Rattus norvegicus: one gene and its partners. The protein of the gene in region 3 binds, or shares a complex with, the protein of the main gene of each other region. Links are inferred from orthologs where the notes say so. Each region holds a gene or a part of one and is shown on either strand. Other genes may lie near its edges. The genes, in order: Pip5k1c, Apbb1ip and Tln1.

The links.
Region 1: the proteins of Tln1 (region 3) and Pip5k1c are in contact, whole or in part, in a crystal structure (PDB 1Y19), measured with the Mus musculus proteins. The link is inferred for Rattus norvegicus from reciprocal best matches to the Homo sapiens genes TLN1 and PIP5K1C. Residues at the interface, in NP_035732.2 of Mus musculus: Pro209, Val210, Gln211, Leu212, Leu214; in NP_032870.2 of Mus musculus: Pro646, Leu647, His648, Tyr649, Ser650, Ala651.
Region 2: the proteins of Tln1 (region 3) and Apbb1ip are in contact, whole or in part, in a crystal structure (PDB 4W8P), measured with the Mus musculus proteins. The link is inferred for Rattus norvegicus from reciprocal best matches to the Homo sapiens genes TLN1 and APBB1IP. Residues at the interface, in NP_035732.2 of Mus musculus: Leu1492, Ala1495, Thr1496, Val1498, Ala1499, Thr1502, Ser1503, Cys1506, Asn1507, Arg1510, Val1526, Ala1529, Lys1530, Ala1533, Asn1534, Thr1536, Ala1537, Val1540, Ile1543, Lys1544, Asp1547; in NP_062329.2 of Mus musculus: Asn5, Ile8, Asp9, Met11, Phe12, Thr14, Leu15, Glu18, Met19, Leu21, Leu22, Ser25.

What each region holds. Positions count from the first base shown.
Region 1 is NC_086025.1:9,073,878-9,078,227, forward strand, and holds the start of Pip5k1c (phosphatidylinositol 4-phosphate 5-kinase type-1 gamma), read right to left. Parts: upstream 2,840-4,350; 5' UTR 2,779-2,839; coding exon 2,685-2,778; intron 1-2,684. UniProt on the Homo sapiens protein: Catalyzes the phosphorylation of phosphatidylinositol 4-phosphate (PtdIns(4)P/PI4P) to form phosphatidylinositol 4,5-bisphosphate (PtdIns(4,5)P2/PIP2), a lipid second messenger that regulates several cellular processes such as signal transduction, vesicle trafficking, actin cytoskeleton dynamics, cell adhesion, and cell motility.
Region 2 is NC_086035.1:89,932,463-89,936,107, reverse strand, and holds part of Apbb1ip (amyloid beta A4 precursor protein-binding family B member 1-interacting protein), read right to left. Parts: intron 1,294-3,645; coding exon 1,195-1,293; intron 575-1,194; coding exon 466-574; intron 1-465. UniProt on the Homo sapiens protein: Appears to function in the signal transduction from Ras activation to actin cytoskeletal remodeling. Suppresses insulin-induced promoter activities through AP1 and SRE. Mediates Rap1-induced adhesion.
Region 3 is NC_086023.1:62,586,452-62,589,824, forward strand, and holds part of Tln1 (talin-1), read right to left. Parts: coding exon 3,299-3,373; intron 2,398-3,298; coding exon 2,251-2,397; intron 2,134-2,250; coding exon 1,967-2,133; intron 1,878-1,966; coding exon 1,694-1,877; intron 1,605-1,693; coding exon 1,479-1,604; intron 1,381-1,478; coding exon 1,264-1,380; intron 519-1,263; coding exon 333-518; intron 251-332; coding exon 143-250; intron 1-142. UniProt on the Homo sapiens protein: High molecular weight cytoskeletal protein concentrated at regions of cell-matrix and cell-cell contacts. Involved in connections of major cytoskeletal structures to the plasma membrane.

The DNA of each region.
Region 1 (4,350 bases), on a different chromosome or scaffold from region 3:
TGCTGATAAAACTTTATTGACAAAACCTAGCAGGGGGGCTGCAACCAGTGAGTCCCTGCATTACCTTGTTCTTGCGCACATCATCATCTTGACCCCGGCAGTCTAAATCAAGGAAGGGCTCCAGACCCTCTCTCCACTGGGGACACAGAGGCAGCAGTCACCCAAATGCATGATCTCAGGATAACACCTAGGGCAAGACTGACTGAACCTTTTGTCTCTAAGGTCAACAGCTCTGACCCTGACATCAAGGTCACTACTTCCTACTGGTCTGTGGCATTTGCCACCTGGCACACCTTGACAGTCCCCACGCACCTGTTGAATGCCCCCCCCCCCCCCCGAGCCCTGGTGCTGAACCATGCAGGAACATAGAGGCTCCTGTGGCTGGCATGGAGAACTGAGCAGCAGACAGGGAGGAGAGGGTGGGGCAGCGGTGTGGGCAGAGGGAGGGCCTGGAGCCAGTTTCTAACGGGCTCCTTATGGAACCGGAGAGTCGGTGGAAGGAAAACGAAGGACGCTGGACCAGCAGAGGCATGGGGTGGAGGAGACGTGGGCAGGCTCTGGGGTGATTTTAGAAGCAATGCTGACATAATTCGCCACCAATTCAGATGGGGGAGGAGGCAGTGGCAGGTTGGGAGCGGCGAAGCTTAGGAACACTTTACCAGAGCCCAGGCAGGTCACCAGCCCTGTCGCCTAGTACCCAGGGTCCCCAAGCCATACCACGCACCCACAAATTGCAAGGGCCCCAGCAGCCGCAGCAAGGCAGGAGACAGGCGGTTTTTGGGCAGGCCCGTGGAGTAAGAAGACTAAACGTAACTGGATTCTAAACGCCACACAGATAGGTTTCCTTCCCATCAGATAGGTGGAAATCACCAGAGCAGATAACAGGCTGCTGCTGCCAGGTCTGCAGGGAGACAGACACCCAGAGCGGAGGTCTTCTAGGAAGCAGGGTAGGTCTTGCTCTTCTTGCCTTTGACCTCCAGCCCCCCACGAGGCTGGGGATACTGACACTGGACACCCCCCCCCATTCACGTGGAGGCATAGATGCAGTTGGTGGTAAATAAACGCAACTGACTCCTTTAAGGCAGCCAGCACTCTGGTGCTTCAACCCAAGGTCAGAGGAGACCCAGGTGGCTTCCCCGGTTTACAGGTAGGAGCACATCAGGGAGCCACACTGAAGGGTGGGTCTCACAGGCAGCGATGGGATTCTATGTGGATGACTAACAGGACTCTAGGCAGGAAAAGGAACTTCCGGGAGGGACAGCCCCTGGGGGTCAGACACAGGTTTGTCTAGAGATCGGTGACAGATCCTGTCTGCTCCAGCTAGCTTGTTAAACACCGCCCCCCACATCTCCCCAGTGATGAACAAGATTCCATATACAGGGACAATGTTTGGGAACTGAGTGCCTGGCGCTATCAGGTTTATGGCCACTAAGGGCCCTGCTGTCCCCTGTATAATTTCTCCATAATGGCACGGGACACCAGATGACAGCAGCACAGAAGGGCAGGTAGCTGGTGACAAGAAGCAGATTAGCTACCACTGGGTTCCCAACAGCATAGAGAACGAATCTGACCACCTGGGTTTGGGGACCACTAGATCCCTGGCTCCTCCTCCCCTCCCTGTCTTCCATGAGGACAGTTAGGGAGAGCCTTAGAAGCCTATGTGAGTCCACAGAGACCTAACGGCAGATGCCAGCCATGGAGTACTGCTGAAGGGAGCCTAGAGTTCTGTGAATCCAGAAAGTTCTGATGACCTCGATGGAGAAGGGAGCATTCTGTCCTCTCTCGGCTGTGCATACCGACAGCCCTGCCTACAGAATGCAAGCCCAGAGACACTGCTCGAGACAGGGAAGGGGACACTAGGAAGCGGGGTTGCCCCACAGGCTACTGTAGCATGGCAGGCAGGGTCCAGGGAGAAAGGTCTGGGAGTTTGGGGGACTAATGGGACGGGACATCTGCTCACCCAGCCGGGACAGAGAAGGCACCTCAACATCATTTCTTTATTCTTCCCCAGCCCCCATTTTAGAGGGAGGTAAATTGAGGCCCACAAATAGGTGATCAGTGGTATGCAGCAGGGAGGGACCAGAAGGTGACAGTTCCAAGATTGACAGCCCAGCCACGGGGGTCGCATGGAGGACATACTCGCTCTTCCTTGCCAGGCAGGGTCCGCAGTGGGGTCCCCCAATTAGAATGAGGGTGCTCCAGCATCCCCCACACTGTGGAGAAGCCACTCACCACACACTCAAAGGGGCAGATATGACTCACTTGTCTCTATCCCCTACAGCAAGAGAATGCCCGAAAACGGGTCCCCTCTACTACCTCCAAACCAGAGGACTGCTTCACCGCTACCGCATGCATCTAGAAGAGGTTCGCTGCGTGCACAGGCTGCCAGGATAAAGAGCCGCACCCACGCCCGCCTGCGGCTCCATCGTGCACCCAAGGACCCTAAAATTGGCCGAGCGCTGCGAGCCCCGCATCCCCGGGCGGGGCGGTGCAGTCTCCCCGGCCCGAGCGCAGATGCCCCCTCCCCCGCTCATGCAATGGGAGAGCGCGAGCATCCCCGCGCCGCGCGTGAGAATGGATCAACCCGGCTGGCCGCATCGCAGGGCGAAGCGGGCGGGCGAGCCCACGCAGCACGGCGGGGGAGAGGGGTGAACCCATCGCAGCGACGGGGGGGTCGCATTTACCTGCCGCCGCCCCACTCTCCGCAGACCAGGCCGCCTCCGCTGTCACGGCCCCTGCTTCGGCGCTCTCTGCCTCGTCCGGCACCTCTAGCTCCATGGCCGCGCGCTCCGGCGGCAGCGGCGGCGGCGGCGGGCCCGAGGATGCACCCGAGCTCGGCCGCCGCCGCTGAACAACAAGCGCCGCCCGCACTATAGGGCGGAGGGAGGGGGCGGGGTCTGGGCGGAGCCTGGAGTCAACGCGAAGCTCTTAACCAATCGGATATAAGGACCGGACTTAGGGCGGCACCCAGTCAGGAGAGTGGCGAGCGCCCTCGAGCGAACGGTGCGGGAAGGACTTGTGTTCACGTGCAGTATGGGGGTGGAGGGAGGGGCTTCAGCAAAGGGAGGAACCTGACCAATTAGGGAACAGGGGTGGGGCTAAGGTGAAGTACGACTCACTAGCGCCTCCAAGCGTCCATAGACGGATGAACAGAGCAGCTCAAACAAACGAGAGGTAGGAGCGCCTGAAGGGGACTGAGATGGGGCGGGGCTTAGAGTCTACTACAGCCAATCTGATATTAAGGGCAGAGCCTAGACATGAGGCTCAGGATCACCCTAGGTGGACACTACACAGAAGGCAGAGGCAGCAAATCTATAGGCTAGAGATAATGCTAGCCTGGTCTACATAGCAAGTTCCAGCCTAGCCAGTGCTATATAGTGGGACCATTCCTTAAAAAACAAACGAAAAAACAAAACAAGACAAAAACAAAAAAAATCCCCCACAACCGGGCGGTGATGGCTCACAATTTTAATCCCATCGCTTGGGAGGCAGAGGCTGATGGATCTCCAAGTTCAAGGCTAGCCTGGTCCACGAGTTCCAGGAACTCAGAAACCCACCTGCCTCTGCCCAGTGCTGTGTCTGAGTTATCCTCAGCTATATATTGAGTTAAAGAGACCAACCTGGGCTATACGAGTGTGTGCGTAAAAGAAATTTATTACATATATTAGAAGTGTATTTTAGGGGTTGGGGATTTAGCTCAGTGGTAGAGCACTTGCCTAGCAAGCGCAAGGCCCTGGGTTCGGTCCCCAGCTCCAAAAAAAAAAAAAGAAAAAGAAAAAGAAAGAAGTGTATTTTACTGTCATTTACAACATAAGTAATCAATAAAAATAAGCATACATCGTATTGCAAAATTTTATATATATATATGTAATATATGTCGTTTGTTGTGTTTCTGAAACAGACATTTCAGCCTTAGCTTCCCCTTTGCTAGGATGCCAGGCATGGCCACCCTGCCTGTCCATTAAGACAGTTGCATCAAAAAGCGCATTGGTTGTGGCATGGACAGAAGTGAGTCAGCTTGACTAAAGCCAGGGCTTCCAAAGTGTGGTCACTGGAGCCCAGCATCAGCCCCTTCTGGAAGCAGGTTAGAAGCCTGAATCTGAAGGCTTCTTGCTGCAGGAACTAAGATGGGGCCACCAGCTCCTCCAGAGATGTGGACACCTGGTAAAAGCTGAGAACTGTTTGGGCATCACAGAAAGGAACTAGGTCAGGAGTGCTCGAATTAAGAAGAAGCAAGGTTTGAAAAAAAAAAAAAAAAAACCTAAAACTGGGAAGTCACAAGGGGCCAGGTGTACAGACAGGGAAGTCAATGCCGATAGATAATGATCTTGGGTGTGGCTAAAAGGTGCA
Region 2 (3,645 bases), on a different chromosome or scaffold from region 3:
TGCGTTATACAATATTTGTATTTTTGATGAGACACATCTCCTTGTAGCCCACCCTAAAGTCATGACTAGCACTTTATTTACGGGTTTATTGTAAACCTCAGCACACCACCATCACATGGGATGGTTTGGTGGAGAAGGAGCACCCTAATATCTACCAGGCAAGGCTTTATAGAAGGCTTCAAGTTTGGGGTGAGTGTGCAAGCGTCTAATTGGAAAGTCACTGTGGACTTTAACATAACTGGCTGGTGCTTCGAGTCAGATCATGAACTTAATTTCTGCTCCCCTCTGCATTGGTGGTTATCAGGCAGGGGGCGGGCTTGTAACCTGGGGGTGCAGGTTTGTTGTGGGAATAACCTGGAGATGCTGGTCTTGTTGGGGGTGTAACCTAGAGACTGGGTTTTGTGGGTTAAAACCTAGGCTCGGGTTTTGTGGGTGTGTGAATGTGAATGTCTTCTCTGCTTTTACCTGCAGCAGGCTGAGCTGGTGTAGTGGCAGTCCCCAGGTTCGTCCACCGAGAGGCGAGTCCAGCTCTAGCCACAGCCCGCTGATAGTTATCATAGAGAGTTTTCCCGTACTAAGGAGGGAACACAGGGGAAAGAAAGGAATCCATTTATTTTAAGTTTTGCACTCAAGTCAAGAGCCACATTGAAAGAGAAAAAGGTGCCATTATTCTCCATGTATTTGGGGGGTTTATTTCATCGGTTGCTCTTTCAAATGTTAAAAAGTTCTCTAGATTTTCAAAATTAGTGAATTCTCCCACCTACACACCAGAGGTCAGGGCTAGCCACCAAATTCCAATCACAAGATTCTGACCATGTAACCGTTTAATCGAATTAATTTGCTTCTTTCCCTTCCTATGGTAGGATCAAACTCAGGACCCCACACCTGCTAGGAAAGCGCTCCACCACTAAGGCACACACACCTTTGGCCCAGTCTTGAGTTTCTTAATTGCATACTGTGTTTGCAATTCTCCCCGTGAGTCTGAACAGTTTGTTTGAAAGTCAACTCTGACTCTCACATCACTGGACAGGTGTGTGCTTGTGTAGTAATAAGTTTATGACTCCACTTACTGAGGGGGAGAAAGGAACCAAGAACAAACAGATAACATCTGTACCCAGGAATGGTGAGATGCTGGCCCTAGTAAACAGGCTTGTTGGCTGACCTAAGGACACAGGAAGCTGAGTGCACACTCACCTTGGCGATCCTTATTCCCATAACCCACTGGCTGAGAGTTCTTGCGTCATCACAGCAAAGGTACTTGATGTACTGAGATTCCTTCTGAATTTGAGGATGCTACAAAGAAGCAGTTTTGAAGGCAATTAATAGATGCAATTTATTAAGTGGAAAAAAAACTTAAAGTGAAACGTTAACAATGTGTATGATTTCCTGAGATGGTGGTAAATATACCTGGTAGCAGGTTTAGGATCAGGAAGAGGCAGAGATGTCGTTCTGAAGCCCAGGCTGGCTTTGAACTCATGATCCTTCCACCTCAGTGTTCTTGGTAGCCAAGAATATAGATTAGCATACCCAGTTTTTTTTTTTAAGAACTGTTTTAAGAACTGTTAAACTGTCAGCACCACAGCACAAGCCTGCAACTTGGGCTACCAAAAAGACTGAGAAAAGAGGATCACCAGGTTGAGATCTACTTGAGAATCTTAAAGCGACCCTGTCTCAAAAGTAAAAGGTACTAAAAGGGCTGAGGGTGTAGTTCAGTGGCCACACTTGCCTTGCATCTGTGAGGCTCTGGGTTCATCCCCTAGCAGTATTAAGAAAAAGGCCAAACTTTGAACAGATTTATGAAGCCTGTTATATGCTCTAACCACAAGCACTTCTAATATGCCAGTAATAATTGTATCTCCCCCTTTTAAATGCTGAAGCCCTTTATATCTGTTAGGTTTCTGTCCCTCATTGGAAATCAGGTTGCTTCTCTATTATACAAAGGGGATTACCTAATATGCATTTTATGTTACAAAGCCAGTGCTAATAAAATTAGAGTTTTATTTATGCCAAAATTTAGTCCAGGTGTCATTTCTTTCACCAAGAATACAGAGTTTTGCAACGATCTCTCTTTCCTAATGATGGTTTCACATCCACACGGGCACATACTCTGCAGGGGAGGGTGTCATTCGAATCTTCCATCTGTCGGTAAGTGGTCATAAACAATGTTGTACAGGGGTTATGTAGGCCCCCAGGAGTTCTCAAGAGAACAGTGATGTGGCAGACAGAAAGGAGAGATTGCAACTCCGTTTCTCGTTTCTCGAGTCTCCTGTGCTTGTAGCTTTTGTTTCTGTTTGGCTCTGACATACTGAGCTCTCTATCGATGGGAACTTTGCCTGTCTTTTTTTTTTGGAAGACTGGGGGTGCATAACGTGCCTGTCGTATAATAGAACTGCAGTCTGGGTGTCAAAATAATTGTTTAAATAAAGAAATAAGCAAGGCATTTACTCTTGCATCAGAAATGTCGAAGCTATTGGGCCAGAGGCTGGTAACCAAACCTAAGATCTGAAATATGTGTGATGTCAATTTTCATGGGTCATTGTAACTTCCATTACATTTTATTGTATATAAAAAGTAGCAACTAAAATGTGTGTGTGTGCGTGCGTGTGTGTGTGTGTGTGTGTTTCTGTAGAGCAGCTTGCGAGTCTTGCTAGCATGAGCATAAATTAGTGCTACTACACAACCAGGAGATCTGGGACCATCTACTTCAGGGTTCCACAGGCAGAAAATGAGTGAAGCAGCGATCCCTCTCTATGGCGCTGCATAGGCCTTTCCGCTTGCATTCGGCAAACTCACTGACCTTCAGGAAAGTAGGTTATCATCAAAGGTGATCTGAGCATTTGAACTGTGCCTTTAATATGCTGGGATACGAAGAAAAGCATGTGGACTGGTTTCTCTGCAAGCTTTGTGCCTGACTTGCCCCCACTCCCACCCTCTACAAGATACACAGACTGCAAGGACTTTAGTCCAAAAATTTTTGGACTAAAAATTTTTATTCCAAAATTTATTATTTCTGCTTTTAAAAATGATAAAAATTTATGTTTGGAGAGCTCCCTGTATGTTTCTTGACCCACTAGAATTTCTGAGTTTATACTGAGCCACTAAGACAAGCACCATATTTTTAAGATGTTACAGGAATAAAACATCAGAAAATGTAAAGAATTCCTGTGTGTGGTCTTTCCTAGCACCTGAGAAAAGCTGACTCTTTTAATTGGATTGCTTCCTTTACTGGCTCCAAATTTGCATCAACTTGGCCTGGAAGTCAGTTTGTATGATTATCCCTATCAGATTCCTCTTCCCTGACAATTCCAACCAGTACTCAGACTGTTGCTGTAGTTCTCCAGTTGGACCAGGAGATGGCGGCATACACTTTTGGATGGCTGCAGCACACTGTGTTCTAGTGTTGAAAGCTTCCTCAGAAATTCTCAGTGATCAGTAATGCAATCAGTAATTGCTCCAATAATCACGTTCTAAAGAGGACCTTGATGTCGGGAACATCAATCAAATCAAGTAGAGTGGTCCAATAGCAAAAAGGATTTGTTGCATTAATTAACCTAAAGGTCAGATTGTTAAAATGTGAATCAGGCACTTGGTGGCTAGCATGCGACATTCTGTGGATGCCTGTGCCATTCTCAACAAAGAAATCTG
Region 3 (3,373 bases):
GAGAGGGGAGGCCAGGGGAAAGAAGACAAGAGAAGAGGAAGAGGTAAGTGGGAGGAGTGAAGACCGTCACAACAGTGGGGTCCCACAGACAGTTTGAAGTGAGAGTGGCTGGGTTGGGGTATGAGGAGCAGCGCCTCCTTACCAGCAGCACGTGGTCCAGCAGCTCCAGGTAGCCATTGGCACACTCCCGGCCAAAGTGTAGGGCTCGAAGCCGCACATCAGGTGCCACTTCTGGGTGGAAAGCTGCTTCCTGTCCACAGAGTGCAGATTAGCCTTAGAGCTTCAGGCCCCCGAACCCCTTGGTCTCACCACCTCACCAGCAGCGTTTCTACCTTGCAAGCCCGAAGCATGTCTGCAATAGCACGTCGGCTCAGATTGGCTGTGGCAATGACATCTTCCTGCCGACAGGAATTGCCAGCAGCAACAGCTTTGGCTGTTGCCATAGTAATACCCTTGGTCATTCGGATGAAATCTTCAGGGGTGGAGGTCTTGGCAGGGGGCTCTGGGGAACAGAAGACCTGTTGGAAAAAAAGAAAGACTATACAGTGTCCAAGATGGGAAGGCAACACAGCCAGGGTCTAATTTCCACATCCATGTGTTCAAAAAGCATTTTTCCTTTTCTTTTTTCTTTTCTCATATATTACATCTTAACAGAAGTTTCCTCTCCCTCCTCTCCTCCCTGTCCCTCCCCTACACTTCCCCCTCCTCCAGATCTGGAGGGCGGGCCTCCCAGGGATATCAACCAAATTCAAATTCGGCATATCAAGTTATAGCAAGACTAGGCACATATTCTCACAGTGAGGCTGGATGAGGTGACCCAGTAGAAGGAAAAGGGTCTCCCAAAACAGGCCAAAGAGCCAAGGCAGCCCCCACTTCCCAACTGTTAGGAATCCCAAAAGATCAGTAAGCTACACAACCAGAGCATGTACACAGAGGAACTAGGTCAGACTGGTTCAACCTGTGAGCCCCGAGGGGTCCTGGTTAGTTGATTCTGTGAGATGCAAACAGCTTTTCTAGAGTAGGCACTGTGGGTCAAGTCCCTGCAGATATTCCTATATCAAAGCTCATAGAGAGCAGTGCTGGTCACGGTTCTGACTGGAGAGAGACTGTTGAAATTTAAGTAGTGCCTTTTGGCCGGGATGCAGCGCAGCAGAGACATGACGGGATCATGTGGGAAGTACAGTATTAAGCAAGCAGAGTGCTGAGGAATGCAGGAGAGGCCCAACTCACAGTCTATCACCCAGTGCCCCGGGCTGTGCTCACCGCCAGTTCCTGACGTATGTGCTCTGTGGTTGCCTCTAGGGCCCGGGTGCCTTTGGTGGCCTCATCTTCCACAGCCTTCACAGTCTTGAGCAACGATGTCACATTAGTCACCATCACCTGAGGGCAGCAGAGAGTGGGGAGGAGACCATGTTTTAGAAGCAGGAGGAAGTGCGCTAACCATCCCTCCTCCTGCTGTTGCTCCTACTGCTTCCAACCTTAGCAGAGTTCTTGAGCTGCCACACTGCAGGGTCATCCCCAACTTTGCCCGCTGCAGCCTTCGTTGCACTGATGAGGTCTCCCAGGGCCTTGGCTACGTCCTTTACTGCATTGATCAGCACCACCTGTGAGGGAGAGGTTACTCTGCTTTGTGAGGGGGGAAGGGCAACAGGAAGTGAGGCTTAGGGCAGAATTAGAGATGTTAGGTAGATACCTGAGTTTCGGGGTCCTCAGCTCCTAGGCTGGCTGCACCAAGCTTGACTACATCAGCGAGGCGGGTAATGGTGGCCACTGAGGACTGGGCAGCTTGTGCCAACTTCTCCTGGCTCCCAGCTGCATTTTGTACCAGGACCTTGGTGTCCTCCACAAGAACCTTTGCTGTCTTTAAGATACCCTCCCTGGGGAGGCCCCACCAGTCAGCTTTCCTCAGAGTCCCAACCTTCCAGCCCATGCCAACCTGCCTCCCTCTGGGCACTTCCCTCCTCACCGGTGGTCTGCAAAAGTTTCGGCACCCTCACGGTTAAGTGTGCCAGCAGTAGCAAACATGATGGTGGTGTCAAGGTCAGCAATGATACCAGACACAGCACTGGCTGCTGTGATGCAGGCCTGGGTACCACGATTCCCAGCCTGGAGTGCAGCCAGAACATGGGAGACCTGTAGGCAAAGGGAAAGGGAAAGTCAAAGCTGCCTATGCTTGAGAGAACAAGGAAACAGGCTGGAGAGGTACACGGAGATGGGAAAGCCACGCCGCCCCAGGAGATCAGTAGTCACCTTCTCTGATACTCTGCGGGCGCACTCTATGAGCTCCTTCTTGGTGTAGACATCACTGGGGCTACACTGCAAGGCGCCTGCCTTGGTGACCAGAGCAGAACAGCCATGGCCCAGCTCCTGTACTCGGTGCTTGATATGCGCACCTATCTGTGAATAGCAGAGGGGACATTGATCATTTTATAAGAGTGCTCAGGAGCCTCCAATGCACCTAGAGGAACCACTGAGGATGCTTAAAAACCTAGAGCAGTGGGATGGATAAACACTTGTGTGAGCCTGGCCACCGGAGTTTGGTTCCTGGAACTCACAGTGGAAGGAGAGAACTGACTTCCCAGTTGTCCCCTGACCTCTACACGTGCATTATGACATGTGCACAGCTGCACTCACACACACACTGCAAACACACACACTAATAATGATAAACAAACACAGCTTAAAAAGAACCATGTCCCACAGACTAAGGGAGCTCTATGAAAAGTCCCCACACAGTCTTTTCTGGTTTCATATCCAAGCAGGAGTCACCTCCTACACATTCAATAGTGAGAAGGCACCATGTGGTAAGGACTGTGCTAAGCACCGTGGGGAGGAGGGAGACGCACTTGTGTTTGGGTATTTGAACCAGAGCCTGTTTGGGTTTACGGAGGGTTTGGGGATTAGGCATGTCCTACTTAGATCCAGTCACTCACTTTCTTGGGAGGAGAGCCAAGAGCTTAAGCAAGGACAAGCTGTGTGGATTTGCCACACAGAAGCACCAGGAGACTCTCGGCCCAGCAGCGGTACCATAGGTCTTACTAGGGTTGACAGAGGCTGGAGAAGCAGAACCCAGAAGCCTCTGGATCCTGAGCTGTCCCTTTCACCCTGTGACTGAAGGCTTGAATCCTTTATGTCTACACACAGCCTGCTTGCCCTTTATGGAGCAGCCTTGATGGTGTGCTGCCTTCTGTCTGACTAGCTAGAGTAAGGGAGTGTGGGACACCCCTGAGGCTGCCATGGGAAGAAGCACCATGAACTGCAATCTCCTGAGAGAAGGCAGTGTGGCCGCCATGGTTACCTCCTCATTCTCAGCAGCCACAGCTGCAGGCTTGGCTTGTGAGGCCAGTCGGCCATAGTCACTGGTCAGCTGGTT